2 linked regions of the Xenopus tropicalis genome follow. The protein of the gene in region 1 purifies or fractionates together with the protein of each later gene. This does not show direct contact. Links are inferred from orthologs where the notes say so. Each region holds a gene or a part of one and is shown in the gene's direction. Other genes may lie near its edges.

Region 1 (4,084 bases):
ATTTGGGGGTACAGCCTGGCTAGTACATTTGGTTGGGGGCGGCCTAGTACACTGGGAATAACTAGTACACTTGGGGGTACAGTCTGACACAAGGGATAACTAGTACACTTGGGGGTACAGTCTGACACAAGGGATAACTAGTACACTTGGGGGTACAGTCTGACACAAGGGATAACTAGTACACTTGGGGGTACAGTCTGACACAAGGGATAACTAGTACACTTGGGGGTACAGTCTGACACACACAGGGATAACTAGTACACTTGGGGGTACAGTCTGACACACACAGGGATAACTAGTACACTTGGGGGTACAGTCTGACACACACAGGGATAACTAGTACACTTGGGGGTACAGTCTGACACACACAGGGATAACTAGTACACTTGGGGGTACAGTCTGACACACACAGGGATAACTAGTACACTTGGGGGTACAGTCTGACACAAGGGATAACTAGTACACTTGGGGGTACAGTCTGACACACACAGGGATAACTAGTACACTTGGGGTACAGTCTGACACACACAGGGATAACTAGTACACTTGGGGGTACAGTCTGACACAAGGGATAACTAGTACACTTGGGGGTACAGTCTGACACACACAGGGATAACTAGTACACTTGGGGGTACAGTCTGACACACACAGGGATAACTAGTACACTTGGGGGTACAGTCTGACACACACAGGGATAACTAGTACACTTGGGGGTACAGTCTGACACACACAGGGATAACTAGTACACTTGGGGGTACAGTCTGACACACACAGGGATAACTAGTACACTTGGGGGTACAGTCTGACACACACAGGGATAACTAGTACACTTGGGGGTACAGTCTGACACACTGGGTTACAATATGGGTACAGCCTGGCACCCATAGGGAATGGTTAGTATTTTGGGGTACAGCCTGGCACCCATAGGGAATGCTTAGTATTTTGGGGTACAGCCTGGCACCCATAGGGAATGCTTAGTATTTTGGGGTACAGCCTGGCACACACAGGGGTGAAGTAGGGGGGTACAAGGCAGTACATAAGAGGGGGAAATCGCTTACACTTGACCAGCTCGTTGTTGTAAGTCTGAAGGGCGGCCCCCTGTTGGCTCATGTCTCCCCGCACTCAGCCCCAGCTCCCGGCCCCGGACCCGCTCAAATCTCCAGCCGGCAGCTCCCTCCTGTTTGTACCCACACGGACCCAGGCAGCCTATCAGCGCTGCAGAATCTACCCATGTGACCAGACCTACAGCCTACGTGATGGCGTCATGGCGTTCCGTTGTCTTCAGCGCGTCTCTGGTCTCCATGGTTATGGGAGTCCGCTCCCTGTCACTGTCATTACTAATGGCCCCGGAGTGACGTCACTACTAGGCGCCCGCTCTCCCCTCAGCCGGCGGGATGTCTGAGTGTAGCCTGGAGCAGCTGTCTGCGGCTTGGAACGCCTTGAGCGTCGGGCTTGTACCGCCCTCCGCCTTGGGCCTGGTAAGCACCGACTGGCACCCTACCCCAGGCACCCCTACATCTCCCATAGAGCCCCCTCACCCCCTCCTGTGGCACCCCTTACCCCAGTACTACCCCAGGCACCCCTACATCTCCCATAGAGCCCCCTCACCCCCTCCTGTGGCACCCCCTTACCCCACTCCTACCCCAGGCACCCCTACATCTCCCATAGAGCCCCTCACCCCTCCTGTGGGCCCCCTTAACCCCACTCCTACCCCAGGCACCCCTACATCTCCCATAGAGCCCCTCAACCCCTTCTGTGGCACCCTTACCCCACTCCTACCGCCAGGCACGCCCTACATCTCCATAGAGGCCCTCACCCCTCCTGTGGCACCCCTTACCCATCCTACCCCAACCCTAGCATCTCGCCAAGAGCCCCTCACCCCTCCTGTGGCACCCCCAGCTCATCCTACCCTCCCCAGGCACCGAGAGCCCCACTCACCTCTCCTCCTGTGGCCCTACATCCCCATTACTCCACCCCCTTCTGTGGCAACCCCTTAGCCCACTCCTAGCCCAGCACCCCTACATCTCCATAGAGCCCCCTCACCCCCCTCTGTGGCACCCCCTTACCCCACTCCTACTCCAGGCACCCCCCTACCCCACCTTGCTCTACCCCCCTCCTGTCGGCCCACCCCCACTCCTTACCTCCAGGCACCCTAACATTCCCATTAGAGCCCCCTCCCTCTCCTCCTGAGGCACCCCCTTACCCACTCCTACCCCAGGCACCCCTACATCTCCCATAGAGCCCCCTCCACCCCCTCCTCTGTGGCACCTTCTCCCCCGTTCCCCTCCTACTTCTTTCCCAGTGGCACCCCTACATCTCTCCATAGAGTCCCCCTTCTCACCCCCTCCTGTGCGCTGTCCCCCTTACCCCACTCCTACCCCAGGCACCCCTACATCTCCCATAGAGCCCCTCCTACCCCCTCTGCTCGGCACCCTCCTCCCTTACTCCCCACTCTCACCTTACCATCCACGGCACCCCTACATCTCCCTCATAAGAGCCCACTCACCCCCCTCCTGTGGCACCTCCCTTACCCCCTTCCTTACCCAGGCACTCCCTACATCTCCCATCATTGAGCCCCCTCACACCCCTCCTGTGGGCACCCCCTTACCCCACTCCTACCCCAGGCACCCCTACATCTCCCATTAGAGCCCCCTCACCCCCTCCTGTGGCACCCCCTTACCCCACTCCTACCCCAGCACCCCCTACATCTCCCATAGAGCCCCCTCACCCCCTCCTGTGGGCCACCCCCTTACCCCACTCCTACCCAGGCACCCCATACATCTTCCCATAGAGCCCCCTCACCCCCTCTGTGGCACCCCTTACCCCACTCCTACCCCAGGCACCCCTACATCTCCCCATAGAGCCCCCTCACCCCCTTCTGTGGCACCCCCCTTACCCCACTCCTAACCCCAGGCACCCCTACATCTCCCATAGAGCCCCCTCACCCCCTTCCTGTGGCACCCCCTTTACCCCACTCCTACCCCAGGCACCCCTACATCTCCCATAGAGCCCCCTCACCCCCTCTGTGGCACCCCCTTACCCCACTCCTACCCCAGGCACCCCCTACATCTCCCATAGAGCCCCCTCACCCCCTCTCTGTGGCACCCCCTTACCCCACTCCTACCCAGCACCCCTACATCTCCCATAGAGCCCCCTCACCCCCTTCCTGTGGCACCCCCTTACCCCACTCCTACCCCAGGCACCCCTACATCTCCCATAGAGCCCCTCACCCCCTTCCTGTGGCACCCCTTACCCACTCCTACCCCAGGCACCCCTACATCTCCCATAGAGCCCCCTCACCCCCTTCTGTGGCACCCCCTTACCCCAGTACCTGGCACCCCTACATCTCCATAGAGCCCCCTCACACCTTTCTGTGGCACCCCCTTACCCCAGTACTGGCACAGACACCCCCTACATCTCCCATAGAGCCCCCTCACCCCCTTCTGTTCTATAAGGAGTTTATCTTTACAGATAATAAAGCTTTACCTACTTCCCTTTGCAGGCAGCACCCAGACCCAGCACGGGGGAGTCAGTCGTTGAAGCCCACCTTAAGAGCGCTCTAGAAGTCTTGCACCTCTATGACCTGCATTCCATGGTGGAAGAATGGTTCACGGAAGTTCTGCAGATGGACCTACAGAGGAACATTGCCCCAGAGTTCTGGAATGGAATCAACCAGCACGAGAATGCGGTGGAGGAGGAGCACTGCGCTGTGCTCTTATTGGACGCTTTTCGCCTGCTCGTGTCCCGCCTGGAGCCCTACCTGCGCAGCCTGGACATTCTCGCCAAGTGGATCGACACGGGGCTGCTGGGCTCGTCCGACTCCCAGATGCTGCGGGATAAAGTCTACACCATGTTCAAGGCCATCCTTTTCTTCTCCACCTCCAGCCACTTCCAGGACATGATCCAGCAGTTCTACAGCCGGACCTTTAAGATATACATGAAGCAGAGAAAGAGAGGAGACGGCGGCGGCGGCGGCGGGAGTGACAGCAGCATGAATGAGAATGAGCGCGAGAGCGACTCGGACGAGAGAGGCGCCGATGAGTGGCAGTGCCCGGGCTGTGAGAGCAGCAGAGACCAGTGTTGG
Region 2 (3,948 bases), on another chromosome or scaffold:
TCAACAGATATGGTCTGCTGCTTACCAGGCATGCTGATAGATTAGCAGCCATTGTCTTCTATTATGAGAATATTATGTGTCATTTTAAGTACAAAAATACTTGGATAAATTTACACAAAGATGCACCATTAGAGAAGACAATCAGAAATATGTCAAGTACTTTCAAGAAAACATAATTTCTGATCAAAAATTGGTACAAATTTTTTGTAATCGGACCTGTCTTACTTTAATGAATGTGCCCCTATGTGTGTTATGATCAGTTAAGGTCCCCATACACGCTACGGGCGGGCGATACCGGGGAGCGTTTAGGGCCAAACGATCGGATTATGTGGGCAGCAATGGGGCAGTCGGTTCGGGGACCGCATCAACGAGCCGATGCGGTCCCCGATCCGACTGAATTTTCTAACCTGGGCGATTGATATCTGCCCAATTTCAGGCCAGATATCGGTAGGCCAGGCCCCTCGGTTCTGCCCCTACACAGGCCGATAAGCTGCCAAATCAGTCCAAGGGACCCATATCAGCAGCTATAATCGGCCTTGTATGGGGACCTTTACAAAATTCTTTTGTTTAACAGGACTTAATATCTATCTGCTATCATTTCAGTTGAACTAAGTATTAATCTGTGTGTCGCTGACTCTTCGAGATAAACTGCTACCTGAGATTAAGGTATTATATAATCATAAAGGGTTTTAGGATAATTACGCCTCGGTAAAGCAGATCTGTGAGTTTGAGTTTTATTGCAATTCATATTACGTTCAATAAACGTGGATTAAACTAAAATAAAAATCTAGAATGATTACAATTTCACTTTGCCCTAGTTTGCACAAAACGTCTTCCCATTTGGGTCAGTTCGGGAGAGGTCTCTCTGATGGCACAAGCAGAAGCTCTGTACAGCCAATACAAATGATTTGTAAGGAGACTGGGAGCTAAGGTGCCACAAGCCATGGCGATAAACAACACAAAAGTCGTCTTTTCTGTTTTCAAACAATAGAAGGTGCGAGCAGAATAAGAACAGATTTTGATGAGAGAATGTACCGCAACCGAGCAGCACTTCCCTCTTATGTTACACCGATTGGCCACGCCCACTGGGCGGCTCCGTGTGCGTCACTGCGCTACGTGTAGTCGTAACGCTCGTCCTCTGTGAGGAGGCTGTAAGCATATTTGCAGGAGGTGTAAGTAGCGATATGGGTTTTATGTGTTTTTATTATGGGAGTGCAGGCTGTGTGTGGCCCTTAGCAGTTGCACATAGTGGGGCCTGTGCATTCTAGTTCATGAGGATTGTGTGCATCATTACAATATGCTTCTGTTTTCCAGGCTCGTCATGAAGGTTCGCTTGAAGTGCTGGAATGGCGTTGCCTCTTGGCAATGGGTGGCTAATGATGACAACTGTGGGATCTGTCGTATGGCATTTAATGGCTGCTGCCCTGAATGTGAGTGCTCAGAGGAGCATAGGCCTATGTACATGCCCTGTAATGGGGCTTACTACATGGCTTCATGGCCTGTGCCAGGGTTTCTATAGTCTGGAGCCCTTTACATTCTAATGAGGATCCCTTATGTTAGAACAGTTGTACATATTTAATCCGCTAGCACACAAGCCTGTGAGTGTTACATTGGAGATTCCTCGCTTCTTTACAAATGATTTTTGTTTCTCATTTTACTGTTTTTACTTGCTTGTTCTGAAGTAAGCAAGGCTGTAGGTATTCTGACTAATAGGGATATCCTAACATGACACCCTGCTATTCTGGCATTAGGTTTAAAATAAAGAACCACTTTAAAGGAGAAGGAAAGGCAAAGTCACTTGGGGGTGCCAAAATGTTAGGCACCCCCAAGTGACTTTAATCTCTTACCTTGTACCCCGGGCTGGTGCCCCTGTTAGAGAACAGCACCGGGGTAGCTGCAGCGCTTCCTTATTCTGCGGCAAATTCCCTGGCCCGGGGCATGCGCATTAGAGTGAAAAGCTGAACTTTAACAACAAAGTTCATCTTTTCACTCTAATTGCAGGGGGCAAACGCAGAAGAAGGAAGCGCTACAGCTACCCCGGGCTGGTGCTGTTTTCTCCTAACAGGGGCACCAGCCCAGGGTACAAGGTAAGCGATTAAAGTCACTTGGGAGTGCCTAACATTTAGGCACCCCCAAGTGACTTAGGCTTTCCTTCTCCTTTAAATCATTATGGCATCAAATAATATGTGGTTCCTTAAAGGAGAACTATACCCCTGGGCACAAAAAGCACCCATAACTATCACTGCCTAGACCCCCCCCCCCTCACCTCTCCCTTATCAAAGTTTTTAAGTTTAATGTCTGTCCCTATCTCTAACCAATAGCTAATAATGCAGAGGAGCGCAGCCGCCTACCTGCCCAACATCATCTTACTGACTGAAGACACTTTGGGTCTCTCCGCCGATACGAACCTGCTTGTGCATGCGCAGTTGGGGGTAACAGGAAATCCACTTCAACTGCACATGTGCAAGCAGGTTCGGTGTCTGCGGTGAGACCCAAAGAGTCTTCAGTCAGTAAGAAGGTGGTGGGCATTAAACTTAAAAACAATGTGATTAGGGAGAGTTGAAGGGGTCTAGGCAGTGATAGTTATGGGTGCTTTTTGCGCCCGGGGGGTATAGTTCTCCTATAAAAACATGCTGTTTCCTATGGCTTTATGCAGCTGACTTCTTTCTTGTCATGAGCAGGAGAGTCAAAAGAGCCTTAGGTGCCACTGATCAATATAAATGCAATTGGATCCAAGTAGGAAGCAGAGCTAGATAGGAGGGATGCTTGCCAACTGATGGAAGTTGTATTACAGCACAGGTAAACAACAAGGCAAGTAGGTAGGCAATGGGCAGACAGGGTAAACATGGCAAAGCAAGGCAGAGTGTACTATAATGCCTACAAGTAGTTAAAGGGATTGTTCAACTTTGAATTAACTGTTAGTATGATGTAGAGAGTAATATTCTGAGACAGTTTGCAATTGGTCTTGATTTTTTATTATTTGGGGTTTTTTAATTATTTCGCTTGTCCAGCAGCAATTCGGGTTGGGCTTTCAGTGGCTATATGGTTGCTAGGTCCCAATTTAACCTAGCAACCTTGCAGTGGTTTGAAAGAGAGATTGCAATATGAACAGAGGAGCCTGAATATAAAAATAAACAATAAAAAGTAACAAAAATAATAAAACTGTAGCCTCACAGAGCAATTGATTTTGACTGCTGGGGTCAGTGACCTCCATTTGAAAGCTGCAAAGAGTTAGCAGAAGGCATATCATTCAAAAACTATAATCTAAGAATAGACCATTCTATTACATACTAAAAGTTAACTTAATGGTGAACCACCCCTTATAACTTACTACTTCATATTATACAACACTGTTCTTCTCAGGACACCTATACGCCACTATACTTCAATGTCTCTCACTCTTGCCCTTGCAGGTAAAATCCCAGGAGATGACTGCCCATTGGTGTGGGGTCACTGCTCTCACTGCTTCCACATGCATTGCATCTTAAAATGGCTGAATTCCCAGCAGGTGCAGCAGCACTGCCCTATGTGTCGTCAGGAATGGAAATTCAAAGAGTGAAATGCAAAGATTTAGTTCCATGTAGTACCCATTAAGATTGTTATATCTCTTGTAAATATCATAGTTGTGCTTGTTCCCCCATGATCTTTTCCAATAAAAACAGTTATTACTGGATCATTTTTTTTAAATCTAAGTTGCACCATTGCTCCTGGCATGGCTATTGTTATTCAAATATTATGGCAGCTGAAGTCGCCAGAAAGGTGATCTATACACAGAACAGGATGGACCCCTTTGGAAGAAATACCATATTTCATAAAGTGTGCTGTTAACTAGGGATTGTTTCAACTACATACTGAGTCAGCCAAATGCTGGGATGTTTGCCAGTATACCAAATAGAAGCTTCGCTTTCATATTTAAATGTAATCTCAAGGGAAAGCATCTTCTCCTTT

The links. Proteins that work in one complex are often made in the same cells at the same time.
Region 2: the proteins of anapc2 (region 1) and anapc11 purify together in Homo sapiens (affinity purification with western blotting; 7 studies listed by BioGRID and IntAct, with this or other methods). This does not show direct contact. The link is inferred for Xenopus tropicalis from reciprocal best matches to the Homo sapiens genes ANAPC2 and ANAPC11.

Annotation. Positions count from the first base shown.
Region 1 is NC_030684.2:1,703,698-1,707,781, reverse strand, and holds the start of anapc2 (anaphase-promoting complex subunit 2), read left to right. Parts: upstream 1-1,284; 5' UTR 1,285-1,394; coding exon 1,395-1,478; intron 1,479-3,502; coding exon 3,503-4,084. UniProt on the Homo sapiens protein: Together with the RING-H2 protein ANAPC11, constitutes the catalytic component of the anaphase promoting complex/cyclosome (APC/C), a cell cycle-regulated E3 ubiquitin ligase that controls progression through mitosis and the G1 phase of the cell cycle.
Region 2 is NC_030686.2:27,902,867-27,906,814, forward strand, and holds anapc11 (anaphase-promoting complex subunit 11), read left to right. Parts: upstream 1-1,148; 5' UTR 1,149-1,172; intron 1,173-1,314; 5' UTR 1,315-1,321; coding exon 1,322-1,430; intron 1,431-3,413; coding exon 3,414-3,559; 3' UTR 3,560-3,673; downstream 3,674-3,948. UniProt on the Homo sapiens protein: Together with the cullin protein ANAPC2, constitutes the catalytic component of the anaphase promoting complex/cyclosome (APC/C), a cell cycle-regulated E3 ubiquitin ligase that controls progression through mitosis and the G1 phase of the cell cycle.